Tamandua tetradactyla: one gene and its partners. The protein of the gene in region 2 interacts with the protein of the main gene of each other region in a pairwise test. Links are inferred from orthologs where the notes say so. Each region holds a gene or a part of one and is shown on either strand. Other genes may lie near its edges. The genes, in order: ENKD1, CCDC102B, SPG21 and GOPC.

Evidence for each region.
Region 1: the proteins of CCDC102B (region 2) and ENKD1 interact in binary tests that used the Homo sapiens proteins (3 or more experiments, as listed by UniProt). The two-hybrid records come from large-scale screens. The link is inferred for Tamandua tetradactyla from reciprocal best matches to the Homo sapiens genes CCDC102B and ENKD1.
Region 3: the proteins of CCDC102B (region 2) and SPG21 interact in binary tests that used the Homo sapiens proteins (3 or more experiments, as listed by UniProt). The two-hybrid records come from large-scale screens. The link is inferred for Tamandua tetradactyla from reciprocal best matches to the Homo sapiens genes CCDC102B and SPG21.
Region 4: the proteins of CCDC102B (region 2) and GOPC interact in binary tests that used the Homo sapiens proteins (3 or more experiments, as listed by UniProt). The two-hybrid records come from large-scale screens. The link is inferred for Tamandua tetradactyla from reciprocal best matches to the Homo sapiens genes CCDC102B and GOPC.

Annotation. Positions count from the first base shown.
Region 1 is NC_135342.1:61,397,962-61,405,917, forward strand, and holds the start of ENKD1 (enkurin domain-containing protein 1), read right to left. Parts: upstream 3,004-7,956; 5' UTR 2,996-3,003; coding exon of another isoform or gene 2,891-2,995; 5' UTR 2,603-2,890; intron 2,355-2,602; 5' UTR 2,340-2,354; coding exon 2,255-2,339; intron 2,126-2,254; coding exon 1,931-2,125; intron 1,383-1,930; coding exon 1,210-1,382; intron 252-1,209; coding exon 126-251; exon of another isoform or gene 22-125; coding exon 1-21. Other genes in the region: C16H16orf86 (uncharacterized protein C16orf86 homolog), read left to right, coding at 2,891-2,995, 3,271-3,437, 3,829-4,046, 4,124-4,560. UniProt on the Homo sapiens protein: Microtubule-binding protein which regulates microtubule organization and stability. Promotes the stability of astral microtubules and facilitates the proper orientation of the mitotic spindle.
Region 2 is NC_135344.1:13,477,655-13,484,619, forward strand, and holds the start of CCDC102B (coiled-coil domain-containing protein 102B), read right to left. Parts: upstream 3,018-6,965; 5' UTR 2,759-3,017; coding exon 2,742-2,758; intron 1,200-2,741; exon of another isoform or gene 835-1,199; intron 1-834. UniProt on the Homo sapiens protein: During interphase, forms fibers at the proximal ends of centrioles to maintain centrosome cohesion. During mitosis, dissociates from the centrosome following phosphorylation to allow centrosome separation. Contributes to CROCC/rootletin filament formation.
Region 3 is NC_135340.1:81,792,705-81,800,478, forward strand, and holds the start of SPG21 (maspardin), read right to left. Parts: upstream 3,007-7,774; 5' UTR 2,797-3,006; intron 2,360-2,796; exon of another isoform or gene 2,278-2,359; intron 1-2,277. UniProt on the Homo sapiens protein: May play a role as a negative regulatory factor in CD4-dependent T-cell activation.
Region 4 is NC_135331.1:178,461,169-178,469,119, forward strand, and holds the start of GOPC (Golgi-associated PDZ and coiled-coil motif-containing protein), read right to left. Parts: upstream 3,013-7,951; 5' UTR 2,997-3,012; coding exon 2,481-2,996; intron 1-2,480.

The DNA of each region.
Region 1 (7,956 bases), on a different chromosome or scaffold from region 2:
GTCCACACCTGGGCCTGGCCCCTGCAGGACATGGCAAACATGGAGGGGGCAGGCACACTGTGTTGTGCCTAGAGCGCCCCCAAACCTCTGCCCAACATGTTCCCAGCCCCCATGCGTCTTCTCACCTTGGCATTGGGACCTGCTGGGGTTAGGGGAAAAGTGGGGACACGGGGTGGTGGGAGCCCAGGGCCACAGCGGGAGTGTGCCCGCAGGAAATGGGCTGACTGTATCCCAGAGGCAGGGCCAGGCTCCTGGAGGGCAGGGCACAAAAGGGGGATCAGTCAGACTGATATCAAGATCTCAAGCCATAAGACCATGCCCATCTTTCTTGCTTCTCAGGAACTCTATCCCAGTCCCTATTGGCATCCCTCTTACAGAAACACTTCTCTTCAATGTTTAAACCTGTGTGAGTCTCTCATATTTTTAAGAAAACAACAAGCCACCCCTCTTTGTCTCAATCCTGCTCTAGCTATTACTTTCTCTCCCCTTCTTAGCCAAGCTTCCTGGCTCTGGCCACTCAAATTCACTGACAGCTGACCTCCATGCCCTCAAACCCAAGGGTCACTTCCTTGGTCTTATCGTCCTCAATATGATCCTCTGGAGTGCCTGGGTCTCACTTCCGAGATCCAGAATTGAATAGCCACCTGCTTCCTGTGGGTCCCCCAGCAGTCCCACAAACACTTCAGCTTTGGCACATCCACATGTGACCTTGTTTTCTTTTCTCTCAACACTGCTCTTCCTTCTGAAGTCCCTGTTCAAGGAAAGACAGAATCCTACCACCACACCCCTACCCTTCCTGCTACCCTCAGAAATAAAGGTTGAAGGTGACATATGTAGCCCTTTACGATGTCGGTCCTGCTGACTTCTTAGCCTACCTTGTGCTCTTCTTCCCTCAGTATTAATTGCACCCAGCAACCTCATTGTCCACTCGACTTTTGGCCTCAGGATGTCTACCTAGGAGGTTTTCCCTCTATGAAATGTTCTCTTCCATTCTCCTCTTGCCTAATTTCTCCTTGTCCCTTAGGATCAGTCCAGCCATTACCACTTCTGAGAAGGTCCTCAGTACTACCCCGTAGCAGGGCCAGTTATCTCTCAGTCCTCTGTCACTTAAGTTCCCTGTGATTTCTTCCCTCCCCATAACCCAGATCAGGATATAATTGTATGCTGATGGGCAAGCTTGATATTATTTCTCACTCCCCAGGCAGGTACCTGTAGCTGGGCCTTGACCCGGGACTCCACCTTGTCGTACTTGGGTGAGTGCCACAGAGCTTTCAGGGGCCTGGGCTGGCCTTGCTCGCGGCTGCGTTCCTGCTCGCGGAAGCGCCTCTGGATCTCCCTGATCCGCCTCAGGTTCTCCTTCTCATGGTCTTTGGTGTCCTTCCCTGGGGAAGAGATGCTGTAGGCCCTGCCCTACATACCCCCCATGCAATCCAGCTTTCTCCCATTCACACACAGGCCCACCCCTCCCACAGAAAGAACTACCTGACCTTTCCACCTAAGTTCCTGTCTTTACACAGTAATACTCTTCCATCCTTGACTACGTTTTACGTTTTTGTGTAATACCATCAATCATCTTGTACATACTTATCTCTTTGTTTCGTCTCCCACCTTGATCATGATGGATCCTGCTTGCCTTCACCTGTTTTTCTAGCACCTGTAAATTCTGGCCCACAGTAGGCACTCAAAAAACAGCACTGCATTAATGCATGAATGCTTGAAGCTGAGCTAGGGCTTCCCCGGGACTACCTCCTTCAGTCCTTTCCTGCGAAGAGGTAGTGGATTGTTTTCTTGCTTTTATGGTTGGGGAAACTGACTCAAGAGGGGCAGAAGCCTGTCCTAGGTCGGGGAAAGAGTGGGCGCTTTTCATTCCGCTTTAGACCTCCGATTCGACTCGTCTGGCTGTCCCTTCTTCCCCCTTCCCGGGACCTACTCTTGAAAGGGGCCCCTGAGCCCAGAGAGATGCCCCCGAGTTGCAGCAACACGTCCCCCGCACCACGCCTGCCAGGCTCCTGTATCTTTCGAGCTCCGGGACCGATACAGGGGCCGCGGAGAAGGGCGGCATCCAGGTCGGGATCCGAAGTCAGCAGGTCCAGCTTCAGTGTATTTCCCTCCAGGCGCCCTTGGGCTGCGGGGAAGAGGGAAGGGCCCGGGAGGGAAGGAGCGCCGGGCTCAGTCTCGGAGCTGGCGCAGGCGCAGGCGCAGGCGCAGGCGCCGGCCCCGGGCCCAACCTGCCGCGGCCAGGCTCCCGACTCACCAGAGGCGGGCCGACGGTAGTAATCTGGGCAGAGCGTAGGATCCGGGGGGATGGGCCCCGAAATGCGGGACAGGCCCTCGCACATGCCGCCGCCGTTGCCCTGCAAAGGTGCACCGAGGCCTCCCGGCTGCGTATTCCCGGCCCCTGGATCCCCTCTCTAGTCCCCCGCCTCGTCCACCGACCCGGACGCTGACCCCAGCTGTGCACCCCATTCCCGGCCCCCTTCTCGTCCCGCGCCCCGCTCCTCAGTCCTGGCCCACGCTCGCCACCTCCGCGACATCCGATCGGAGCCCACTTTCCTGCCCTGTTCGCGGCCCCTCCCCCACAACACCCAAGCCGGGGTCTCACCAGAGCAGTTCTGTAGCCCGCTGTCGCGGCGACCAGGGAAGTTGCTGTTGCCTAGCAACAGTGGTTTCCGTCCCTTAGGTTAAGGGTGAGTGCTCCTGGCGCAAAGCCTTCTGGGGCTTGTAGTTGCAGTTCCAGTTGAAGGTAGGCGTAGAACGGCTGCCAGTCGCCTTTTCCAGTGCGGCACTCGCCTCCAGGCCCTTCTCTCGGGTCAGCGCGGGGTCCGCCAAACCGACCAATAGGGTCCGTCCCCGTAAGCCGCCATCGAGGATGTGCTGACCCCACGCAGTCATGGCCTCAGCAGGGGCGGAGAGGCGGCTGGGGACCCAGGAGGGAACTGCCGTGGGGCCCGCACCACTCACCCAGGCGCCGGGTCACCGTGCTAAGAGCTCTGAGGTGACCATCGGTCCTTGTAGACTTCAAATACTTAGGCCAAGGCCCCCTGGGGCATAGAGGGTCAAACTTTTGGGGATCCAGGCCCTGTAACTTCCAAGACCCGCTACACTGGTGGAAAGGGGCACATCGGTGCCTTTTATAGAGTGTCTGATATCTAAAGTCTGATTCCTGTATCCTTTGTCTAGTCGAGTGACCAATTACCTATGTGCCACATCTAGTGTACAGTGACAGGAGACCAGTGTCTGGTACCAGTCAATGAGGCTTTTTGGCCCTAGGGTGAAGACAAGTGTCCAGTGCAATCAGCCTCAGAGCCAGAGCTCCAGGAAAAGCGACTCAAGTCAGAGGAGAGGTTGAAGCCAGAGGACACCCTGGAGGAGAAAGGCCACAGGCCTATGGCCTCTCTTGTGAGGCCTGGTCAGAGTCCCAAGAGGAAGCCAGTCAAGTGAGGGGGCTTTGAGAGAGAAGGGGCTTCAGGGCTGGGGGATGGGACTGACACTCCACTAGGATTCCTAAAGCCTGCATTCCTGCAGAGTCCCCTTGTCCCCCTGAAACTTGTCCTCTTGCCACCACCACCATCATCACCCCCACTCCTTCTGTCCCTCAAGAGCCCTGGTGTAGGAAGCACCAAAAGAGGAGGAGCCTCAAGGCCTTGGAGGGGACTGAGTTCACATGAGCTCTGAGCCCTGGTCCAGCCTGGGGCCTCACTGACCAGGAAAGGAGAGTTATCTGATCCTGGGTAGTGGGTAAGGAGGGCAATCCCTAGATCCTGGGCATGGGAGCCAGCGGGTGGAGATGCCACCTCAGGCCTCCTGTCCCTGGCTCTGGTACCCCAGCCTTCCAGGACCTAGTCACAATGCCCATCCTAGAGGTGAAGCTGAGATGCCACCTGGACCACTGCTGCAGAGGGAGGAGCCAGAGGGCAGCCAGAGCGAACTCTCACCATCTGCCAAACAGCATAAAAAAGTCAAGAAGCGCAAGAGTCTGGGGGCTCCAGCACACCCAGCTGCAGCCAGCACAGTGTCTGCACCTTCAGAGACCTTGAGGCTGGAGCGTGAGTGGCAGCCTCTGGGCCTCCCCTTTTACCCCTGCTTACTAGGTTGCCTGACATGGCACACCTTGGCGCTCCAGCCTCTTCCCTGCCCCGGGTCCTTGCAGGAAAAGCCCAGCGTCTGCGGCCCCTGTACCAGTACATCAATTATTACAATCCTGAGCTGAACCAGGGAGGGGAGGGGGACAGGGAGACGGAGGCTGAGGTGGAGCCTGACTCAGAGTTGGCCATAGTCCCTGAAGAGGCAGGAGTGGAGCAACTGCAGGCCTTGCTGCCCGTGGCAGGTGAGCTCAGCTCAGGCCTTGCTTTGCCCTGCCCCAGTACATTAGTGGCCCCCACCCATGCCCTGGCTCTCCTGGCAGAGGAGGCTGGAGAGGAGTCTGGGTGTGTACCCAGCTTGAAGTCCTGCAGCCAGCTGAAGGCTGAGGTGGATAAATCGACCCAGGTGGACATCGACAAGATGCTGAGTGTTTGTGCTGCTCCACTTGTGCCCCCACTATCTCCTCAGTACAAGTGACTATCCCACCCCACTGGTGGCTGCCACTCCCCCAAGAGCAGCAGCCTGTGGGCCTAGGCCCTCAGGAAGAATCGGGGGAGGGGAATTCGGCTCCTGACCACACTTGCTGGACCTTGGGTTCGCTGACAATAAAAATTTTTCGTTTTCTCAGACTTTGTGATTCCCCAAATAAGACAACTGAAGAGGGAAAGAGGCTGGGAAGAAGGGTGAGAGGATTCCCCAGTGTATGCTCTGAAGCCTTACTGGTCACCTGGATCACTTGGGAACTTAACAAATACAGATTTCCGGGTGCTATGCAGACTTAACTGAAATCAGAATCTGCAGGGTGGGGCTTGGGTTCCATATATTTAAAAGTTCCTCAGATGAATCTGCTGGTCAGGGAAGCTGCAGAGGGAGGCTGCAGAGAGGGAGGGAAATAAGGAGAACTTGGGGCAGAGAAAGGTAAGGGTCAGTAAGGCAAGCAGGTGCTTGGCCTTACCCCGTTTTCCAGGGAGGGGGCCTGCATTTGTTCTGACCTTAAGGGGACCAGCACTTGTGATCTCCTCCCACCCCCTGTGAGGTCGCAGAGTTCATTTGCCTGCCCCTCCGGTAGCTGGCTTTAGAACACTTTCCACACATTGCAAGACTAGAGCTGGACCAGACCTTGCCCAAGGAGTGGTCCCTGGTGCCAGAGGCGTTGGTGCCTTTTTCCTGGTAGGGAGGGACTTATGAGGTGAATTATGTCTCCCCAAGAGACTTGTTCAAGTCCTGGTCCCATGAACATGACCTTATTTGGAAACAGTGCAGATAGAATTACATCAGGCTAAGGTCATACTGGAGTAGGGCAGACCTCTAACCCACTATGACTGGTGTCCTTATAAGAAGAGAGAGAACACAGAAGATGGCCATGTGGAGACAGAGGCAGAGACTGTAGTGATGCAGCTACAAGCCAAGGAACACCAAGGATTGCCAGCAACCACCAGAAGCTAGAAAAGGCAAGGAAGGATTCTTGTCTACAGGTTTCAGAGGGAGCATGGCCCTGCTTACACTTTATTTTGGAACTATGAGATAATAAATTCCTATTGTTTTAAGCCACCCAGTTTGTGGTACTTTTTATGGCAGCCCAAGAAACTAAGAGGGGGTGGTGGTGGATGTGAATGTCTTTCCAGGAATCCTGCAGCCAAACCATCAATGAATGCTGCTTCCAGCCTTCTGGAGCCTCTGGAAAGAGCTGGCCATTATGATCATTTTGGGAACCCTCACATTCTGCTGCCTCCTGGTCTTCTGGTGTATCCCCCAGACACCTTAGATGCAGGGAACTCCAAATTAAATGAATAATTTCTTCTCTTTCTAACCTGCCTTTTCTCCTGCATTTCATCTTCACAGTTGTTCTAGCCCAAAATCCTGGATGTTGTCTCAGACTCAACCCTGCTCTCTGACTCTTACAATCAGGCATTAAGGCCAGAGAATCTACCTTCTCAGATTGAGAACCTCTCAGAACCCACAGACAGCACCCTTGTTGAGGACACTGTCATCTCCTGGAGAAAGTCTCACTTTCCCCATCAGTCCATTCAGTGATCCTACTACACATGCACCTGAACCCCTGATAGTATGACTCCCCTCTAGCATCTGCCTCTTTTGCCCCGGTTGCCTCAAAACTTTTCAGTGGCTTACTCTAATTCCCTGACCAGCCCCATCTTTTCTTACCTGCATGTAGGGCTTCCCCTGCCCCTCACCCCTTCACCTGGCTCAGGGCACTCACTTCCTGCATGGCCAGGCAGTGTCCAGTGTTGCCTCTGCATTATAACATCTACATACTAGTGCCATTGACTAGACTGTGAACTCCCAAAGGCAACAACATTGTTGCATTACATCTGCCTAGCAGAGGGTACCCACAAGGGCTGCAAGATTGGGAGACTAAGATGAGGAGCTGAGGGAGCTGCAGAGTCAGATCAGGATCTGAAAGGCTGAGGCTATCCGAAGTCCAGAACCATGTGTAGCACCCCTGGAATAATGGCCTGATTAGGTCATCAGAAGGCATGAGGTAGGCAGGCCCAGGTAGAGGAAGGAGGAAGGAAAAGTACATGGTCTCCTTTCCTAGCATCATCCCATGCTGCTCCCTCCTTTGTGGGTTTCTTGGATGCTTACTGGTCCTATGCAAGGCCAAAGGGCAGGCCATGCAGTCAGGATATTCATTCTACTTTCTGCCCAGTTTTCCTTAGTGCAATGAGTTGACCCTCCCAGGAGAAAATGTCCTGAGACTCAATTTTATCCACAGGGCTGAGCTCAGATCCTCAGGATTTTCCAGAGGTAGAGGGCCCTTCAAGATAATGGAGCTTGACCTCCTCACTCTATGGCTAAAGAAGTATCTGGGCAGAAGCAGCCTTTGTATGAGACCCCACCCTGGGATCCAGTGAGGCCTGTCCTTCCCTGAGTCCTGCAGAACATATGGGCCTGAGGGTTCTCTCCTAAGACCTGATCCCAAGAAGGCCAAGAATTGGCTTTCTCTGTGTGGTATGGACAAGGCCAGCACCGACAAGGAAGTTCCAGTCCCTGACCTTCCTACAGATGAGGTAAGAAATACCCCAAGGTGATCATAGAAGAGAAAACAGTCTACATTTACTGGTAAGCTATTACCTGGCAAGCTTGTCTAAATAGGGGTTGGTGTCGTGAGCCACAGAAAGGAACAAGTCCCTACCCACTACTGATCCTAGAAGCTCACTCTAGAGAAAATGCTGAGGCAGAATGATTCAAGGAGACACATGTCACAAGGAGAGCCAAGAACCAAGGCTATGGGTCCACAGGTGATGGGGTGACTGCCACTTTGCTTGGGGGAGGAGAAGAAATGGTCAAGATAACCCCCCGGCTGAGTCCTGAGGGGGAAGATTTGAGTAGCCTTCCAGATGATATGTGAGGGATGAAGGCTGCCAGTGTGGGAGAAGCCAGCTCCATACAGGAGGGCTGCATAAGCGTGGATGAAGGAGAGGGCATGGCCATCAAGAGTCCAGGTTTGGCCAGTCTAGGAGTGACAAGGAGTGATGAGAAGGGGTGTATGCAAAGGGGGATCTGAATTTTGGAAAGGTTGCTTGGGCTGTGGTGTGAAGGATAGAATGGGGGAGGGAGAGAGGACAGGGAGGTGGGGAGGCTGCTGTCATTGTCTGGGTTAGTACAAGATCTAGATTTGGTTTGGGATTGGAGAATAAGCAACAGGTACTTCAGAAGTTCTCTTCAGGTTGCTGTGTTAGAGGGAATAACTAAGAGGGTTACTGCATTATCACCGACCTGGAATAACTTTGACAGGAGTTGGCTGCTATCCTTAAAATTTAGGAAATAGGTCCCAGGAAGTGATGCTGCCTTCCTCCAGGAGGGGGTGCTGCAGGACAAGGCTGGAGCCATTTAAGGGACAGTTATCACTGA
Region 2 (6,965 bases):
AATTCCTCCAGTGAAGGCTAATTAACTTACAGAAGGCGTTTAAATAATAGATAGCAGGTTTTATACATGATGGCATTGAAATCCTTTATATATATATGTATTATATACATTTATATATATATATACACACACACAGATGAACACACAAATACACATGCACACATATATCCCAAAATCCCATGATATAGTAAGGTAAGGCAATATTTTTGTTTCATTAGAAACATTAAGACACATAAAAGAAGAAACTGATTGCTGTTTCTGATGCTAGTCCTATTTTACTTTGAGAAAAACTAAACTAATATGTTTAAGGTTTGGATATGTAAGGGGGAAAAGTGTTAATAGACTATATTATTTTTACTTTGAATACCTCATAATCTGTATTAGGTACTTTGCAAACAGATTTTATATATACTCTTCACCAATTGAAATAAAGCATATATGATACTTTTCATTGATAATAACTTAGTCCCTCCTTAATTTTAGGAGCACATGGTCACTAAGTCTTCATTCGTATCAAGCATGATAAACAATCAAAGGAAGACCAACGTATTCCCAAAGTATTCCCAGTATCATACCCAGTCACTTCATTGATTTCATTTGTGAATAATGTTCAGTGAAAATCAATAATAGACAGTTTTTTGTTGTTGTTGAGACAGCAAAAGAGATCTCCTTTGAATACAACATCTAAGAAAATAAGAGAAAAGCCTAAGGGTTGAATATTGCAGCAGCTAATTTAAATGTAAAAGCCTCTCCTTATTTCCAGTATCAACTTCTCTCTCTTTCCCAAAGAGAGTAGTGGACCCCTTCGGAGAACTGTGACTAGCTCAGACTTACCAAGGGTTGGGATTCACCTTCAGATGGTGGCCTCTGTGCCTCCTCCCTTTTACCCCAGACTCATTGCAAACCAGTCCGCTTCACTTCTGCCAGGTTCACACTCAGGCACCAGAGCTGTAGAGTGAAAGTAGCTCTGCAGCCAGGAAGACATGGTTCTGAGTCCTGGCTCCAAAACTTACTACAGTTGTGGGTTTAAATAAATCATTTAATGTGTCTGAACAGATTCCTTCATGTGTCAGATGAAGATTATGTGTGAAATGTTCAGTTTACTGCACAGTTATAAAACCTGTAGATATGTATACATATGTAAATCAACATGCACATGTATGCAAGTCAACTTGCAGATGGGAAGTATGTTCATAATGATGATGATGATGATAAAAAGGGGAACAGGCACTTCATATCTAAAGACAGTTACGCTGTGTATATTTGAAGACACTCCACAAATTTGCCCCATTCGGGCTACTTAGCACAGTGCCTGCTACTGCAGAAATATATATTTTCTTCTCCAAGCCGGCTGATCATTCACCATCTTTCCCCATTTTATGGAAATTCATGCCTCAAACCCTTTTCTCTAACTACTTCACCAAAGTAGAATATTCTTTTTCCTTCTCATCAGCTATACAAGTTCCACTGATTTTTCAAGACTCACCTCAAGAAGTCAGACCTCTCTTTCATAGCTTCTCAAATTTCTCTAGCCCTAAAATCCACGCTAAAAGGGAATATTTGAAGATTTTGGCCTTATGGCAGCGTCCAATTACCTTGTAATAACAAAATGGGAGAAATGATACTTAAATCAAGATGGTCTGAGATCATTTTTCATGTTTTTAAGAGTTATTGGCATTATCCTTGTCACTCAAAGACTTAGATGAAGACCCTCATAAAGTCACTTGAGGCCAAGTCAATTTGAGTTCTCAAGAAGGTACACCCCCAATCAGGCAATTACTGAATCCAATGTAAACATATAAAGAACGCAATAGAGAGATGATGAAATGATCTGTTATTTCATAAGAAAACTATTTCTTCAAGAGTTCTTGAAAAAATTCAAAAAACAAAGAATTTTTCTAAACACTGTTCAGATTTTAATGGTTTAAAATGATGTTGCAAAATCACATGAAGTTTATACATCTAATATATCACTAGCTTTTCAAGATTCCTTTATATGGGGAAAAAAGTCAAAGTTCAAGATTATTTTAATGTATCTGTGAGAACATTTATTGAAAACAAAAGGATTTATTCACAAAAAATCTAATCAAAGATTTTATCAACACCCCTCTCCCATCAAAAAGATAATCAAAAACATATCCCCATGTTTTTAGAAAAAAAGAAAAACCAATGTTGATATATCTGAAAATAGCCAGCACATCATTGTGTATTCAATGTCATATGCTATTTACATATTTCTAATTGCAATTTTTTTGTCTTAAAAATATTTTCCTTATATTTCCACTTGATAGACTTACCTACTCAACATTCATGTTATAGTTTATTTTTCAAAACCATCAGCAAATACTTCCCAATGATTTCCAGCATTTTTCCCCTTCATTTCTGTAGTTGTTTTCTATATAAATGTCCATTTCCTATAGATGATGTGTAGGATATTATTTTGTATCCCTGTCTCTTCCACATATCCAAGTTATTTATGTATAGAAATCAATATTAGTGCTAAATCTGAAGTATAGCTTTCTGTTAACAATGACAAGAATTCAACATGAGGATAGTAAAATTAAAATAACTCAGTGCATGGAGCATGAACATGAGGATTTACATAACAATTTTACTTTTTTACTGTAAGAATACAGATTACTTCAAACACATTTATTAACCCTTAATCATTTGAAACTAAAAACAAGGTTTTAATAGCAACATATTATATTACTGTCTAAATTTAGAGTTGAAATTCTTACCTGAGTTTGTTTAGCATATAGTTATTTTTTAAAGGCAGGAAATATATAACATGCTGTCAGGATAAATAACACCAACAGTGGGAAAAAAAGGAAAGGTAAGGGATGAGATCAAGTCCACTTTAAAAAGAAATTCCAATCCTTCTGTTTCACAGACCAACAGCAGTTCTGTTCCGCCTCTTATAAGCAACTGTCTTTTTCCTTGCTCAGAAAACAACACATGCTCTACCCCAGCAGGAAAGTATAAAAATTAAATAGAAAACCACAAGGTTATTAAACACTCTTACCCTCTGGGCTTGCTGGGCTGCTCTAACGTCTCAGTGTTACAGACACATGTGTAAACAACAGAATTTCCTGCATCCTTTTCTCATCTGTATAGCTCTGGGGTCCTGGCCAACGAGATTATTTCCTAAACTAAGGCCACTCCACAGAAACTCAAAAAAGGATTCCTATTGGTTATGAAGATTTATCACAACCGATACCTTAACACCCTTTTTTGGAACACAAGCGAACATATCAAATTAAAATCATTTTTAATGTCTCCTAACTAAGCATGGTTATCCAAATTTTTTCATTCAATTCATTTGACACTATGTGCTATGAGTGAAAAAGGAAGAAACGACCCGTACCTTTAATCACAAGTTTGTTTCATGTTTAACAATAGGCAAAACTTGTAATAGAAAAATTAAAATGCCAAAACAAAGAAAAGCTATTAAAGTATCTTATCTGCAAAAGATTTAAAGCAAGATTATACTGCAGATCACAGAAATAATAGAAAATGCAATGTGCCTGATCTAATTTTGTTTTGATTGTCCAGCAAAAAGGAAAAAAGAAACAGCATTTAATAAAATATTCACATATGCAAATCATGGTTCAAAAATTATATGTCAAAACACTTGATCTCAGTCATGTTGGCAGGAATTATGAATTCAAGTCTCTAGGGCCTCCAGTGAGAGCTCTCTGGCTGCTTTCCCTGGGGGAAAAACAGAGTAGTTTTTCCAGTGACATGACTCAGCTGTCAGGAAGTGTACTGATGAAGGGGTGAGGGCAGACCACATAAAAGAAAACTTCCCTGGTTAAAACCAACAATAGAAAATGCTCAAAGAAATAGGGAGAGGGCAGAGGAAAAGAAACCAGTATGCTTCTTTTAAGTAGCAGGAAAACAGCATTGGAAAGACAGAATATATGTCCTCTCCCAATAGTCGTCATTGATTAACAATTCTATCATCTATTTCTTCTGAATAGCTACCTTCCCTCCTGATTTTTCTGATGCCATGGAAAGGATGACCATTCTTGGTATAAAACAATCAGTCCTTTGGAGTTCAGGTTCCCTTTCTCCCATCTTCTCAGCTTTCCTGTATCTTTGAATGCTCCCTCTTGATTGGATTTTCCCAATGAGATTTTTAGACACAGTTAAATCCTTCAGCCAAAAACAAACAAAACAGGCTTCCCTTGATCTCATTTTCACTTCCAGGTCCCATTTTCCTGTCCTTCATGGTCAAATGATTGAAAGAGCGCTCTTCTTATTTAATCTACTTTCAACCCCCATCACTGCACCAAGATGCCTCTTCCTGAAAATACACACGTACACCACACAGGGGGATAAAAAAAAACACTTTTTTTTTATACTTCATAGACTCCTCTCTGTCCTCAGTCCTCTTAGCATCTACACAGCCTCTGATGCTGTTGACCACCAGTCTATAAGAAGACACTCCTTTCTTGGCTTTGATGAAAACTCCCTCTCTTGGCACAATACTCTCTTGGTCTTCCTCTTGACCAGTCTTGCTGTGTCTTCTCACTCTTTAGCGGTGCCCTTTCTCCTTTCATGCCTTGGTGTACATCAATACCTTGTTCTCATCTAAATCCATATCCTCCTCTGGTGATTTTAATTGCCATCTCTTTTTCAGAAGACTCCAAATATCTACAGTTGGACCCAATCCTCTTCAGAGAGTTCCACACTTACATATATCTGCACAGTGTACACTTCTACTTGAAAATACCATAGATATGTCAAAGTGAACAAGTCTAAAGCTGAAGTCACCAATTTTTCCATGGACCTGCTGTGCTTATATCAATACGGCCAAGCCAATCTTACAATTTCTTAAAGAAAACTCCTGAAGTCATCCTTGACTCCTTCTATTCTATGTCCAGTAAGTGTCTTTTGGTTTTACTTCATTAATTTACTCAGTACTTTCTCTTTCCACTGCCATCTACAGTGATTCAGGGCACCAGCATACTCTGCCTGAACCAGTGCAGTGTCTTCATGAGTTGTTTGCCTGCCCCAAACTTGTTCCTCTCTGTTTTTAGTAAAGTTACAGAGTAGTTCCAGTGGTATGAGTCTAGTTCAGTGGCCTATTTCCAGTACTCTTACTGGTCTAAATCTCTGAAGATTTCCTACTTAATTAGTTAGCTAGCTTATTTACATAATAAACTTTATTTTTAAACAGTTTTAGATTTACAGCTTTATCTTCACAAAACATTCTTTGGGTTACCAGAACACTATTCTGATTTATATGTTTCCATCTTACTAACCATTTCAGGTCCTGAACACCATCCTTTATTACTAGCCTCTCTTTTTGATGGTGCAATAGCTCCAAGCGTCTATCATTGGTCCTTCTCTTACGCACATCTTCTCTTCAGGTGATCACATCTGTTTTTGTGGCTTCTTTTGTCATACATACAATTCCCAAATCTACATGACCAGCCCAAAGCAGTTTATCAAGCTTCAGATCTGCATTTCTGTCTCATGAGAGTACTCACTAGGAACCACTTAATTCTCTTTACCATCTCCAAGGACTAAACCCATTATATATTTTCTAAAACCTCTATGTGTCCTGTATTCTCAATATAAAATAATGACACTACCACCCACCCAGTATTTCAAGCTAGAAACCTATCTGTCATTCCTGAATTCCCACTCTTCTTCACTCTTCAAATAACACAACTTTATAGTAAAACTTGAAAGAATTGTCTGATTCTCTCTCTCTCCACTTCATTGCCTCCCATCTCTTCTGAATCCACACTGATCAGGTTTTTGACTCACCATATCAATATTTTACTGGCAAATTTATAAATTACTGATGAGTAAAAAATTGCCTATAAAAGGAAGCATTGTCTCATTTGTAGCTTTCTCAAGTGAAGGCTATTGATTCCCCATGACCTATTTCCCTTTGGTTCAAAAAGCGTAGGAGGGCAACTGCTTATTATTTCTTATTGCCAACTCTCGTTTAAAAACTTTTGTTGATTAATATCATGGGACCAGGTGGTGCAATAGTGGCTCAGTGGCAGAATTCTCACCTGCTATGCCAGAGACTGAGTCCAATTTCCAGAGCCTGCCCATGCTGAAAAATATATAAATATATTTTATATATATATATATATATATATATCATGGGACCCACGGGTATTAGGGAAACAAAGTTATCCAGTGCCTCTATCCTAGTTCAAAGGCTGCACTGACACCACACACAAACACACACACAACCTTATCTTAACATTCCATACTCCACAACAAGCGGTGGGGGCACAGGAAAAAGAGATGAGAGAATTCAGCCTTTGAGGTTTCTTAATTTGTTGAAAAGTTCACGATATCTTAAAGCACTTAGTAGGTACCAAAGAAGAGCTGACACTTTTTTTTTAGTTGATTGCAATTCATTTTATATATTAGGTCCTCCCTGTGGATACTACTTTCCTACCCAGTCTAATTTCTCCCCTTCCTCCCTACAGAATGAATTTTGTTTTTTGTTTGGACAACATTGTCAGAAAAAAAAAAAAAAAAAACCTACACTACCCAGCTCCCCATACAGATATGCTTAGCCACGTGGCACAGCTCTGCCAGTAAACATTAGCTGATATTAGCTGATAAAATGGGCATGTTTGCAAAAACTTTTCTTTCCTGATATGGTTGACACTCCCTCTTCCATTCACCTCCTTCTTCCTTCTTTGAACAAGGATGGGAGGCTGGAGGTAGAGAAGCTATCTTAGCTTTCCTGAATTACTGTCACAGATACCACACAGGGTATTGGCATCAATAATGGGAATTTATTGGCTCATGATTTTGAACCTAGAAGAAGTCCATAATCAAGGTGTCACAAGGCAATGCTTTTTCTACAAAGTCTGCAACATTCTGGTGCTGGCTGCCAGCAAACCTTGGGTCCCTTGGTTTGTGTCCCTGACTTGCATCCCATGACGATGTCTTGTCCTTTCCTCTCGCTTCCGGGTTCCATT
Region 3 (7,774 bases), on a different chromosome or scaffold from region 2:
CAACTGGAAGGACTGGAAGCAATCACTACTGGCTTTGCACGCTGCCCCCTGCCCCTGGGGCAAGCCTGGCTTCCCCTGCAGGGCTAAGAGGAATTCCAGACTCTAGAACTTAACTCATGGGCTGACCCAGAACTGTCATTTTAGAGGGTGTTCTCAGGACTGGCAAGGAGCACAGGACTCTAAACTCAATGGAACGCATCTTTCTTGGCCTTCCAGATCTATACTCTAAAGAACACAGGGCCCTTGGGGTCTCTACTGTTACCTCTAACCTTGGAGGATTACTAAACAACCCCCTGGAAGATGGTGAATCTAGACATTCCTAAACTACACTTGACCTACAACCTATACACTGTAATAATAATGCTCTTGTCTCTAAAGGCTAACAGGGTACTTTCAGAAAAACTCATTAAAATTGTAAGTTGCTCTGAAGTACTTTGCTAAAAATCAGGGAGCAAATTCGATTCCCGGTGCCTGCCCATACCAAGAAATAAAAAAATAAAAAAATAAGGGAGCATAAATGCAGTTATTAGTCATAATGAAATAAAATCCCTCTTTGCATAGCCATTTAAAAATCTTGCTCAATATTATTAACATGTTAAAACATTTAAACCATCTGAACAAACTCTAGCCTCTCTCTAAGCTGGCTATTGTTTTTTAATTGAAAAGAACTAACACATAAATAGATAGTCCTGGAATATTTTTAACCCTGACACAGATGTGAAATGCTCCCATATCACACAAATACTTTATAATGAAGACATTTCCTAGTACAGCATTACTAGAAACAATTACTCTATTCTACAGGAGGGAACATAAAAAACATGCTTAGCCAATAAGATTTACTAAACAGTTAAAAAAGCAAATCTTAGCTAATTAAAGGCAGAAAGTTTGCTTCTAAATCCTCCAAACTGAGATAAAATAAGTTAATCATAGTTTGGGACTCATTTGCTATGTACAATCAAACTACAATACAAAGACACACACACACGATGCACAGTCTCACGAACTCAGACACGCGCTTCTTCCCCACAGCAAAAGTAGGAAGATGCTCCTTACCAATAGTCCTCAGGGTTATTCCCAGCCAAGTCAATGTTCTAATATTTTATAACTAATCTTGCAGGATGGAGAGATTCCACCCAACTGTGACTGAATTTTTGTAGAGACAAGTGATTCTAGCACTTGTCCTAGTCTGGCAGTACATGAAAGGTTAAACAGATACCAAATGTTGCAGCTGACCAACTGATGTCTAAAGGCGAAAAAAGCTCACTGCTGCAAAGAAAAGCAGCTGGGAGCAGTATGAAAAGGAAAGTTGTTCTCCCAGATCTCTTTCATCCACTCCAAAGGCGTATACTTTTCCAAGTCACAAGAGGAACATTCTGTAGATGGCAAAGAAGGTTAAGTGAGATTGTCATTGAACTGGTCAGTATTAACCAAGAAAGAATGAGGATCGCTGGGTTCAACTCTGAGTTGACCTCTCAAGATTCAACTCTTCAGAAAAACAAAAGCACCTGTTCGTGCTGGTGGGGAAAAGGCCACCTAGATTAGCCTCAATTTTGTGATAGGAAACCCCTTCTCCGGTTGTGCAATGGAAATGCACTCCTCTCCAGTCCTTGGGCTGTTCCACAACAAAACTGCCAGGTTGTGACTGTGCGCCAGACAGTACACGCACCTATCCCTCAGAATCTCAACAGAACCTTCCAGTTTGCAGGCAATCAAATTGCCCTCACAAGTGTTTAAGAAGTCTCAGAACCAGCTTATCTAGTGAGAGGCTTCCAACCTTTATTGCACTCTTTAGTTGATTTACATATGGATAATCTGTATTATTAACACCAGCAATAACAAAATAATAGAACCCAAGAGTTTCTAGGCAATGCATTAGCTTTTTAGTGTAAGCCTCCATGCTTAGCCACATCAGTACACCGCTATCCTTGTTTTAAGATCTCTTCCAGTAAGATTAGTCTCTCTTTTCTTCAGGAACCTATTTCATTATCTTCTATACCTCGTGGGGGGGAAAGCTACCTACTTGGCATCTCCTCTGTGACACCTCATCTTGTGCTCTATCTTGGTGTAAAAGCTTTGAGAATTTAGACACAGCTATTAAGTTACTCCTAAGTCTCTTGAATTTTTGTACCAATAAGAGCTGGACCATTGTAGGTGGAGACAAAGCAGCAGCATAAATACAGAACTTGTGAAAACAACTCCCCAGAAAAACAAAAAGAAGAAAAGTGACATTTTAGCCCTGCTATTCTTCTCATCCCCCATTCATAAGCGTCACACCTGGGTGGTACTCAGCAATGACAAAGACATTTGTACTTTCAGGCTGAGATAGAATCTCCAAAATAACTGGCGTCTGCTCAGAGTTCTTAAAAGTTTACTAAAAAAAAAAAAAAAAACTGTTCCTGGGCTGCAGATGTGTAGCTCCAGGATGGGTTTGCAGGAAGATGCCCTGTGCAAACCCCTCCAGGCGACCCATAACACCAGCCAACCTCACCCGGTTCCACCGGTGACAGCCACACAAAGGCAGGGTCACAGGCCCACCTACGACCCTTCTGAGCCCTGGCTTGGCCTCAGAGAAAGGCAGACACACACACATATACACATACACACATACATACACACCCACACAAACACACACACGGAAGTGCTATCACGTGCACGATCACATGGACCGGCCCACTCGGGGCTACATTCACAATCATACCGACCAAGGCAAGCGCGCACACTTACATACACCCACAATCTCACACTCAATAGAGACCCATACCACCACCTCCCAGGGCCTTGCCCACCCCTCACCTGCCGTGTCCGCCCCCACGACCCTTTTCCTCCCCAAAGCGGCTCTTCGCTACAATACCCGAGTGAGCTGGAGGAGCGGCTGGCCCGGAGTCCGGGCCCGCAGCCGGGACACCCAGGACTAGAAGCGGCGGCGGGCGGCGGGGGCGTGCAGGAGGGCAGGCCTCCGAGGGGCGGGGCGCGCAGCCCTCCCGACTGTCCCCGTAGCGGGCGCGCGCCTGGCGCTTCCGGGTTCAGCGGCGGGGGAGGGATACGTCACGGGGAAGGGGCGGGGGCTCGGGGGTCTCCATGGCGACGGGGCCCCCGATAGGCGGGGCTTGAGCTCAGTCTGAACTCCCGGAGTTCTCGGTTCCGCGGGTGCGTGCGGGAACCTGCCGTAGGATTAGCGGTGGTGGTCGGCGCGGAGAGGAAATCTGATTGCCTTTGAGTCTAGCTTTTGAGACGTGAGCACCAAGGAGGAAGTTGTGAGAGAGGGAGAAGGGGGTGTCCGGCCTCCTGGAACCTGCTTCTGCATTTCGTTCGCGCACACCTGGAGGAAGAAGATGCCTACTGTTCCCTCTCCTCTGTGTGAAGATTTGAGGGGATCCCCGGGGCTCCAGGTTTTGGTGACCAGGGCTTTGTATACTCTCTTCTTGCCTAGTTCTTTTTTTTTTTTTTTCTTTCCTTGTTACAATCACAGACACCCTCCATAACCTTCTACTGTAACGCTCCCTTCCCTTCCAGCCCTAATCTGGCAGCCCGGGGAATTTCCGGGAATTTAGTTCCACAGAGCCTCCCTCACCTTCTTCACTGCGGTTTTAAGAGCAGAGAATATGAATTCATTTATGATCACTTTTTAAACAAGAGGTTGCAGAGGCCGAAACAGCCCTTTTCAGTAAAATATTTGCAGATTTGCACTGAAATAATATGAAGATTAAGTAGCATGTAAATCTACCCGTTTGAAGTTATTTAGAGATAGTGCAACAAGATCCTGTTAAAAGTGCTTCTCCCTAATCTGTTTTAGGGAGAGCGTGTCTCCTATTTAAATGGACCTTCGAACTTTGACCTGATCCAGACAAGTGTTCATGGGATTTAGGTCAGGGGAGAGTCCTAAATTCCATGCTGAGTCATGATCTCTGCCCTCCCGCTCAGGAAGCTTTAGTTCCAGTCTAGAACTTGGACAAACCCCAGGAATTTCCCAAGAGCAGGATAATCTCTCCTGGTTTTCTACAAATCATCTCTTTCGGAATTGCAAGCCAGTCACAGGAAGTAATCCTTTATTATAAACACCATATAGGTGTATGGGGCATGTTTCCAAGAAGGATTTTTAACCTTGGAGGTTTTTTCTCAAAATGTGGGAGTATTTTAGTGAATGGAAAAACTGGCAAGTCACTGGATATATGGAAAACCCATTGCAGGCACTCATTACATTAGTTATTGGTGTATCTCCCCAGCTGGGCTGGGAGCTTAACACATGGTCTGGCCCATAAAAGTTACTAAATGTATACTGAATGAATGAATGAGTGAAAAAATAAATCTATCCACATGTAGTCCTAAAACTGTATTCCTTAGATCCCCCATCCCCAGACCTTACTTTAATAATTGCCCTAATGAGAACTCAGCTATGAATATGCCCATACATATGCCTCTGTCTCTTTATATAATATACAAACACATCCTTATTCTGTTAGGTGGGTAATAACTAACAAATAATGGGGTTTTTTTTAATGTTTCCTATAGAAAATGACCCTATGCTCATGTTTGGGTCCTCAGTTGTTCTAGAACACATGGCAAGCAGATTGTCCATTTGCTAATATGAACAAGGAACATTTAATATCTGTGAATTCCAGCTGTCCTATTAACGCACAACTGCGGACAGCAAACTTTTGACCCACGGCACACAGTGAAGCAGACCTTGTGGACCAGGCTGTGAGGGTTTGCAGCTGTTGTGTTTGGGGTCTGCCAGATGGTTCCCTCAGCACCAATCCCTGTGCTAGACTCACACTGAACAACTGGAATGTTCATGAAATATGCTGTGAACACCAGGCAAAATAAATAGATGGCCAGCTGGCTCAGAACTGCCCAAGCCTCTTAACTGATCCCTTGAAAACAGTTTTAAATCTCACCTACAAAACAATACTAGATATACTCTGTGCACACATACACATAAGTAAATGCATTTTTTAAAAGGTTGGGAAGAATACACATTTAATAGAATAGTGGTTACCTCTGAGGAGGATTTTGGTATGGAAGGAGTGGTAAAGGAGCACTTTGGCTTTATATTTAGTATTTGAATCTATGTAAGAATGATTCATATATTGTGTGATTAAAAAAATTAAAAGTACCTATATTTTTGTGTGACTCCCCTGCTTTCAATCCTTCAATTGCTCCCCACTGCCTTCAGCTAAACTTCAAGCTCCACTGGGCTATCGATGGGATCATGTGATCTCATCACAACAACTCTTTGAACATCCCCAAACACTTCATTTGGTCTCAAACCTCTATAGACTTTTGTGTGTATATTCTTCCCCCTCTAAGAATGCCTCCCTTTACTCAACCCAATAGAATGAATAATCCTATTTTACCTCCAGGAACTACAGATGCGTGAAAAAGTGAAAGAGAAACAAAACACTGATTTTTCAGACTAACCCAGTTCTTAAAATATCTTGTAAAATCTTCTCAGGGTACAATTAACTATATGTTATATACCAGTTATGCCGGGACCCATGAAATGAAATACTGCTTCTTCATGGCCAGACCAAGTCTGGGTCAAATGCATATCGCACCGTATTATAGGGATCATACACAGATATATCTGGAACCACCCAAGAAAGATGCTGACATGGTTATTCTATAGCTTGCTAACTGAAGAGCCTATCAAACAGAAGTTATATATAGTTATCATAATTACTGATTTAGTTCTGATGCAAGAGTTAACAAACCTGAGTTCTCTTCTTTCCTCTTTCTACATCTGGTTTCCTTATCTGTAAAATGAGGCCAAGGTTGACCCATATGATTTCCAAGTTCTTTCTAATTATAAAATTTTAGAGTCTATAAATCTAGGAGACTTATTGAATATTTACAATGGCTGGCCCTCAAAGCTTCCCTTCTCTGATAATCTCCCCTCTCCTGCTTCCAATAAAACTTTAAAGAATTAACCTGCACACAAAAATGACTATTTAATGGAAACAGTATTTGAACTTCTTGGCGATGTTAATGTTTGTTCATTATCGACCTTTCTCTCTTTTTTTTTTTTTTAAAGCTTTATGGATTACTTTTTCCCAAGAATTGGTCAAAGACACTATCCTTTGTAACAACTTTTTTTTTTCATGGGCAGGTACTGGGAATTGAACCCGGGTCTCTGGCATGGCAAGGGAGAACTCTGCCACTGAGCCACCACTGCCCGCCCCATTATTAACCTTTTAAAATGAAATTTCCTAAGCAACTTCTAAAAATAAAAAGTTCCTAAGCAAAGGTACAGCTTTTGTAGCATCTGCCAACTCAGTATCTCATTAAGGATCCTTTCCTAAATGCTAATGCTTTAGTTTGCCTTTTGGAGGAAGCACAGCAAAAAAGAATCCTGGAAAACAAGAGTGCACTGTTTTACCACAAAAAGCAGCAGTCTTTCGGCAGGTTTCTACAACGTATTATTAATTCTTCAGGTAAAAAAAGACAGTGATTAAATAGTGACTAAAATAAGAAAAATCTCTTTGAAACCACCTAGCACAGAACCTGTATAATGGGTACTCAATTAACTAACGTGTTCTCATTTCTCAGTTTCTGAATATCAAACCCTAAGACATTAAACTCCCTGATCAAGGATGAAAATATTTCCAAATACAGATAGGGGAGTAGAATGGTCAGACTACCAGGGGGTCAGTTCTAGCTCCATCACTTACTAGGTATTTATTTAACCTTTTTTGTACCTAAGTTATCTCATCTGAAAAAATGAGGAAATTCTACTATCGCAGGGTAACTGTAAAAATAAAATAACGACTGTTCATGTCATGTCTTAGACATGTGGCCAGTACTCAATAAAAGTATTAGCTAATAGTATTATTAAGAATCTGCTGTGTTCCAGGCACTGTGCTAGACACATTACATATATTATTTCTGTTCCTCATGACAATCCTTGCATAATAGGTATGACTTTCATTTTGTGGATAAGGAAGCAGACTCAAAAGAAGTTAAGTAAACAGCTTAGGCTTATGATCAGAGGGGAGAATCATGGTTCACATTAGATCTGTCTGACTCAAAGACTCTGCCTCTAAAGATAGTATAAAGAGAAATAGTTTTGAACTGCCTTCAATACAAAGTATAAAAGCAATAAACATCCTTTCAAGAGCCATTCTTGAAAACTAAATTTTACACTCAGAAACATCTTTTATCCCCCAAACCAAACCAAAAGTAAAATCTTTTTAAAAAATAGAACGGGGGGGGGGGGGCAAGGGTAGTTCAGTGGAAGAATTCTCACCTGCCATGAAGGAGACCCAGGTTCAATTCCCAGTCCATGTACTTCCCAAAAAACAAACAATAATTCAACAAATGGGGCTGCAATAATGGGATACTCATTTGGCAAAATAATGAAATGTGAACATGCCATACAGCATACAAAACAAACAAACAAACAAAAAAAACCCAGAACAAAAAAACCAACAATCTACTGTAGTTTCTGGGTTCTTAGACTGGTGTTACTAGCTAACTGTTCCCAGACCCCATTTTATCATTGCTATAATGAAATTTTGGGCTACTAAATAATAGATCCTTTACTGTTCTAAAATCATTTTTCCTTCTGTTAGACCAAGGCTCTTGCTGCCATCCAGAGGAGAAAATATTGTTGCAGGTCCAAAGCAGAGACTACAGCAGTATCAGACTGTTGACAATTTATTGAGTGTTTATGTGCAGGCATTGCCTTGTGCATTTTCCATGTCTATTTCTCTCCCATAAGGCATATTTTTAAACTAAGAAATCAGAATTTTAAAAGTTTAAGTAATCTGCCCTA
Region 4 (7,951 bases), on a different chromosome or scaffold from region 2:
GTAATCAGAAATGGCACCACCTCAAAATATCCTAAATTCTCTGCCTTCTCCTACCCTTTTCCCCAAGCATAACTTACGGCAAGAAGCAGAGGCAAGGATGTCATTTTTATATAACTTTGAATCGTAACTTTTTTTTTTGGCAGTAAAACTGTTTAAATATTTATATTAAGCTCAGTTTTTACAGAGACACAATGACAGGGCAGTAGAAGGGGCAATCTGGAAGGATACTCAAGACCAATTTAAATATATTATAAATCACCCACACTGACTGTATCTGTGTTTTGATTATATAAAAATATTATATTGCAGTAATATGGTTTAAGGAATTAATTTATAAAATTACTGAACTCTGGCACACATTTATTTTATCAAACCATAAGTGGCCTCAAATACTGTCTTAATGTCCTCATACTTAAATCAACAGAACTAAATTCAATTGTCTACTAGAAATAAAATAGGGCAAGAAGCTATGGGAATCTTTTCTAAGTATCAAGACCTCAGAAGATTGATAACACTATATGCAGCAACCCCTGAAATTCTGCAGATGGTTACAGCAGCAGATCTACTTTGAAAGGCACTGTGACCATGAAACTCTCTCCTCAGAAATACCTGGATTGTACTATGAAAGGGGAAAATTGCTAAATTTGGAAAGATCAACACAACAGACAGGTAAGTCAACTGTAACCAGAAAATAAACCAAAAAAAAAGAACAAATCAAGTTAAATCTCTTCTCTTCCTATTTTCTAAGACCTATACCCCAAGGGTTTCAAGCACGTTGAAAAAACAGGCTCATCTGTGATATGCTAACATTTCTTTTTTTTGAGAAATAATACTACCCACTTAGCCAGGACAAGGAGTCAGCATATGCAATTATAAATTCTGAAAGAAAAAAAGAGCATGCATTAACGTATTACAGCTTTGAATACTCATTTAAAATGTTTAAAGATAAAAAAAATTAAGCACCACCTCCTACTGACAGAATGAGCCCTTCTCCAAAATTAACTTTAAATCTGGCATCAAAATATCACTGTTAAAAGTTTCCTTAAATCGTTTTTAAAAATTAGACATTGTTTAATTTTTTTATAAGCTGTTTATCTTCAGTAGATCCTTGTAAAAATAATATGAAAAGTTCTAATACAGCAAAAGCTACTCTTGCTATGTTATTTAAGGCTGAAGTACTAGTTCTAAAAACCCTCAAACAGAATTTCACTACTTGAAAAACTATCTTCTAGAAATCACTACTAATCAAAAAATCAAGACATTTCATTTACCTAGAATAAGAAGTGATTACTTTCACATGCATTCCAATCTTCCCAAAAAAGGATGCAAGAAATTAACAGTCATTCAGCAAAGAGCCAGAAAATCATGAATATGCAAATCAACACTAAGCAAAGGTTAATTATGCCAGTTTTAAAAATGACTGAGAGAAAGAGAATGCTGACCACTAAGCAAAGAGAAGATGTATATATGATATTCATATTGCTTTGGATCTAATGGGCACTCTCAACTATTACAACTGATAGCAATGATGATTTCTTGGAAAGCTAATGTTTAAAAAGTTTTGCACATCACTGATTATCCCATTATTATGTAATTAAAAATGAAAGACCAATTCTCTCATTTAAATTGCTTAATTAGAAAATGCTCTTTATATAAAGTCAACCTGTCATGATTTCTAATTATTGTAATAATGCCTGAAAATTTTCTGCATCTGGTAGGCTTTTTTTTTTTGTAACCACCACCGTTCCACCCATATTCACTCTCTAGTTTAGAGAGTTCACCGAATGATCATTGTTCACTCACTCTCAAAAACAAATGCAGACTTTGGGAAATACAGTAAAATTCAAACGTATAAACCTCACTGTTAGAAGTCATCTGAATGACCGCTGGGAGCTCAGGAGATATCTGCCTGCAATTTAAGGACCAACTGTGGATGTAAACCGAGAAAGGCAATGATACCATCGTATTTATGCCACTAAACTTTCCTAAGAGCTTTGATCAAATTCTCCCTAAATAGTCCATGCATGCAGGAACTAGTATGTCCGTGTGCGACCATTGATGCTGATCTGGAATAGTTAAAATAAAAGTAATTAGGGCTCTATTTGGGTGGTGGATATATAAACCTGGGCTCATCAATGGGAAAATAGAGAAGCAAACCTCAAATGTCAAAAGCTGTTCTAACAGTCTTTGGGCTTAAGTCTTAGGTTGTTAATATAAAACGTACAAGGGTGGCTGGTGTAATTAGTTCCCGTTTCCTGCTCATTAAGGTACAAGATAAGATAGGTGACCGACACGTAGGTTTACACCCCTCATTTTCCCCTACCTTACCGCCCTCCTTTCCTCCACACACCGACACATCGAAGCCCAGTTGTCCCAGTGGGCAGTTTTCTGGGGTCCTTTCACTGGTGCGTCTAAATGAGATCTGACGCCACCGGGGCAGCCTGGGGTGAAGGCCGCCCCCGCCAGCGCCCGCAGCTCACCTCCAGCTTGTGGTTGATTTGGGACACAGTCTGGGCTTTGTGGCAGAGCTGCGCAAAGCAAGAGCTCAGGCTGGTCATCTTCTGTCGCCCCTCATAAGTGATGTCCGCCTGGTCCGGATCGATCTCGCCCAGGAGCAGATCCACATCGACGAAGGCCTTGTCGAACTCCTTCTCCAACACCTCGAGCCATCGGAACATGGATACCCCGCCGGGGGAGACCCCCACGGCGCAGGAGGCGCCCCCCGGGCCCCCACCGGCACCCGCCGGGCACGGGCCGCCCGTCGACATGGCGCCGTCGAGGGCCTCCCCCGCCTGCTGCTGACTCCTGCGCGAGGAGAACTGCTGGGACTGCGGAGACCCCCGCGCACGCACGCTCTGTGGGGTCACTCCTTCCCCTCGCGGGGCCAAAGCCGGCAATGCAGCCGCCGAGGGGCAAGACCTAGGAGGCTGAGGCGGCGACCGTGGCACACGGAAGACACGACCCGTCCCACCTCCCTGCCCGCCGCCGCTGCGCATGCGTAGCCAAGAGCCCGGCGGCCGGGAAGGACGAGGTGGGCGGGGCTAGGAGGCGACGTTGGCCTATGAAAGGCCTCTGCCCGGCCTGTCAGCGGCCATCTTGAGGACTGGCAAACTCCAGCTTGGGTCCGCGAGTAGTAGGCGCGCGGTGTGTGCTTCCAAGCTGGAAAGGCCCGAGGAAGAGAAGCGTATCCACGTCGTAGGAAGGAACGGCCCCACCGGTTTGATTTCACAGTGGACAAAAGCCGTTCTAAAATCGTCCGGGAAAGTGGCGTCCGGGGGCGGGAAAAGGAGAGCGAGGAATGGCGGTGTGAGCATGCGCAATGGCCACGTTTCCCCTTTTCCTCTCCAGTTCCTGCTTAGGTTTGGTGGGTGGGGTGGACGGACACATTGGCGCGTTTTGGTTAAATAGGCCCTAAATACTGTGTGGGCACTGCCTAATGCCGGGTTGGCGGAGAGTGGCTGAGTAGGTGTTGCTGAATAAAGAGACCTTTGTATCTCCTGTGTAAGAGACAGGCAGGCCTGAGTTCAAATGTTACACCCTGCCACATCCTAGTTGCACCACCGTGGTTGTATTTTTTAACCTCAAAGTCTCTGTTTCCAAAATTTATTTCACTCAGTAGTAAGGTAAAACGCTTAGCACCAGTGCTTGACGCATGGCGTTAGCTTTTATTTTTACACCACAGGTCACACATTTCTAAAGCAACTATTTTAAAAAGTGTACGTTGTTGAAGGAATCACGTTTTATCATTTAAAAAACTGGTAATATTCTTGCACAGAGCATTTCAGTAAAACGAAGCAATTGACGTGCATGACCATAAGGAATGGCTTTTTTCCACTTACCGTTTTAACTCAACCTGGTGATTTCTTTTTGAAACCATATTTTGGGTTACAAAATGTGTGATTTGTGTTATATATATAAAATATATATATATGAAAATCAATCGCAGTACTTTTACTGTCATATATTAAATTGAATGGGAACAAAGCAATCAAAGGCATTAGAGTACTATATTTAGTGTTACTTCTTGTTCTTAAGGAATATTCATATATTCATAAATATATTGAATGCCAAACCCTGTGGAGGCATTGGGAACACATATGACCCTCACTCGAGCAGAGGTCATAGACTTGTGAGGCTACTAATCTTCACAGTTACAACTTTAATATGATTTTTGCAGTACTTTTGCAACTGTTTAGCAACTGCTTTCTCATCCCCTTTCATTTCAAGAGTCGCCCTGCCCTGGACAGAGAAAGAGAAACCAGTCTGATTTGAACAGACTTGTAGGAACTGTCTCTACTGCATTATGTAGGAGAATATTTTTCTGGCTAACTACAGACTTGTCCCTGATCTGTTGACGGGACAGATAGTTCCAATCAATCATCATGCAAAACCCACACTGTGTGACTCGCACCAAAACCAAGACGGAGCAAAAAAAAATCACAGCTGTAGTTTGCTCTCTGGGTATACTACAGGCCAGGCTGATAAGTATCTAGCTACATCATTGCCTTATCTTGACCTACTCTGGAATTGTATATAAGCTCAATACTTGTGGGATTTATTTTCCAGATATAATGAAGTCGTCATACTACTAATTAGATTGGCAGAAACCTCCATGAACTGTCTCATGAATCATGCTTATGTGATTTTTTTGAAATTGTGAAATTCTAATATAACTTAAATGTGCAGACTTGTTTTAAGGAACTTATAACTACAGAGTTTTGCCACAAAGTATTACTAGGAATAAACAAAGTGGGAACTGAGGAAACTGGGGGAAGAGAGTCCTGTGGCTCTAGCAAACTTAGCTAAGCAGAACTAACCTGGAAATCCTTGCCCTGAGCTTAAATGCACAACTTCATACAGGTTTTCATAGGCAATGAATAATATAAAACTAAAATTTGCATCTTACTCCCAAAATTATTTTCCATTATTTCAGTATTTTCATCTGCAGTACTCACAAAGACATCACTACAACATGTCCTGGCCAACTTCTCTACAGATAATGTAGTTAGCAATGGATTTTCAGGAATTTGAAGTAAATAATTTCAAAATGGACAAAGGGCATATACATGGAGTCACAATACTAATGATAGTAGCTATCAGTTATTGAGTTCTCATTATGTGGTAGGCATTTGTACTATTTGTTTACATGTTTGATCATTTTGTCACTTTTCTAGCTGAGTTACAGTGAGTCTAAGACAAACAGTAATTGAACTGAGATCTCAGTCTAGGTGCCTTTTTCTCCAGAGCCTTTGCCATCAACTGTGGGGAATAGGGGGATTAAGAAAATCCATTTCTTTGTCCCCAGAATAACAAAATGACAAATCAGTCCAAAAGGAAAATAATCTCTTCCCAATTATAAGCCAATTACAAATCTATTAACATCTAAGAAGAAATTACAAAAATACTGCCAACATTACTTATGGACCTACACAAAATACATTTCATTTCTTTTAAGAATAAATCATTCAACTTTTTGCTGTACTATGTGAGTATGGCCAGACAGCATCAAAAGTGTACATGTGTCCAGTGCCCTAATTGTTGGTGATTACCCCTTTTTCAGGATTTCAGAACCTGGTCCTATTTCATTTACAATGTTTAAAGTTCCAATAAGTCACACCCCTGTCCCTCAGGATATTTTCATTCCTTATTGTCCTTTCTCATTACCACGTCTACGTGTTTGCCGTCTTGGTAGTATGTGACTACTTGTTATCTGCCCTTTATGTAAACTTGTTATCTGCCCACATTGGGATTTTATAATTCTGCATATTGCAGCCAAACTATAACGTGAAAAAGTAGGTTTTAACGTTCAAGTGCTGCCATCTGTTGTCAGTGTGCTCTAGCTGCATCATTGCCTTATCTTGACCTACTCTGGAATCGTATATAAGCTCAATACTTGTGGGATTTATTTTCCAAATATAATGAAGTCATCATACTACTAATTAGATTGGCAGAAACCTCCACGAACTGTCTCATGTATAATGCTTATGTGATTTTTTTGAAATTATGAAATTCTAATATAACTTAAATGTACAGACTTGTTTTAAGGAACTTATAACTCCAGAGTTTTGCCACAAAGTATTACTAGGAATAAACAGGGTGGGAACTAAGGAAACTGGGGGAAGAAAGAAAATGTTAAAAATTCATTTGGTAGATACAGGTCATTAGCTGTGGTTCAAACATTTATAGAGTACCATGAAATGCAAAGGCACAGGAATGAATAAAGAAACATATAAGATCCACCCAGGAGTGGAGACGGAGGGAAACTGCCATTTATTGAACTCTAATGTGTCCAGACCCTGTACTAAGCTTCACACATTTCATTTAATTTCCAGTAACCAGGAGAAAGGAAAATTAATCCAAGAGTCAAGAATTAATATTCAATGATGGCCTATCATATAGGAAAATTTTTATGAGGCAATTTACATTCATTATCTCCTTAACAACACTTTGGGAAATGTAGCATTATTTACATTTTACAAATGGGGCAACTAGTCCTCGGAGAAGTTATAGTTGCAGGTAAGCAGCCAAGTCCACATCAGGCTGGTTATATAGCTAACATAGCCACTTCCTGGGAGTGTGAATTTAAGGATATTGCCTAACTTCTAGCATCTGTTTCCTTATCTATAAAACAAGGAATGTAATGGTATGTCTCTTACAGGGTTGATGTGAGGATTAAATGATTTAAGGAATACAAAGCACCACCCTACCGAGGACCTGGCAAATAGCAAGTGAAAGAATCGTAAATACATATATTACATAACCAATTTTATGTGGTCTTTACGTGTCTAAACATCCCAAGTCTGAGCCTCTCTCCTTTGTGGGAGTATCTTTTAAGGTCTCTGTTCTAGTTTGCTAGCTGCCAGAATGCAATATACCAGAAACGGAGTGGCTTTTAAAAGGGGAATTTATTAAGTTGCAAGTTTACAGTTCTAAGGCCATGAAGATGTCCCAATTAAGCAAGTCTATAAAATGTCCAAATTAGGACATCAGGGAAAGATACCTTGTTTCAAGAAGGCAGGTGACGTTAGGGTTTCTCTCTCACCTGGAAGGGCACATGGTGACATCTGCTAACTTTCTCTCCAGGTTTCTTGTTTCATGAAGCTCCCCCAGGGCTATATTACTTCTTCATCTCCAAAGTTCTCTGGCTGCCTGGGCTCTGTGGTTCTCATGGCTCTCTCCAAAATGTTTCCTCTTTTAAAGGATTCCAGTAAACTATTGAAAACCCACCTGGAATAAATGGAGTCACATCTCCCTCTAATCAAAGGCTAATACCCACAATTGGGCGCGTCACATGTCCATGGAGATAATCTCATCAAATTTCCAGTCTACAGTGCTGAATAGGGATTGAAAGAAACAGCTGCCTCCTCAAAATGATCAGGATTAAAAAATGGCTTTTCTAGGGCACAGAATCCTTTCAAACCAGCACAGTCTCCATTTTTCCTTTTCTGGGCCTCTGTGTGTCTCTGCAGTTCTTTCTGTGTCCCCCTGTTTATCTCTGCCCTCTTTTCTCCCATTGGCTCTCTTCCTGATATAACCGACTAAAAAGACATGAAATATATATGTATCTGTTGCAATTATCAAATAATGTTATATGTTCTTTGTTATTAGTTATAAAATGATGAAAATGAAATGTACTATCTTTTACCCATATTATTTCCTTGATTTTTCCCTGTATTATCCCCTTGATTTTATTTTCTCCTGTTTTTAAGGGATTCCTGATAAATAATGTTTCTGTACTCCTGTGATGGACAGTACATAATAAAGAGGAAAAGGTAAATATGTTTCTTTGTTCCATAAAAATAAGGGTTTTTTTTTCTGAAAAGTTCAGGGTAAGACAGTTTTTTGTTGTTGTTGTTGTTAAAAACACATAAAATACTAATGGACTATTTTAAGGCGCCTTATGATCACACCTCTGTGTAAAAAAATTATCTTTGGAGAATATGTAAAATTT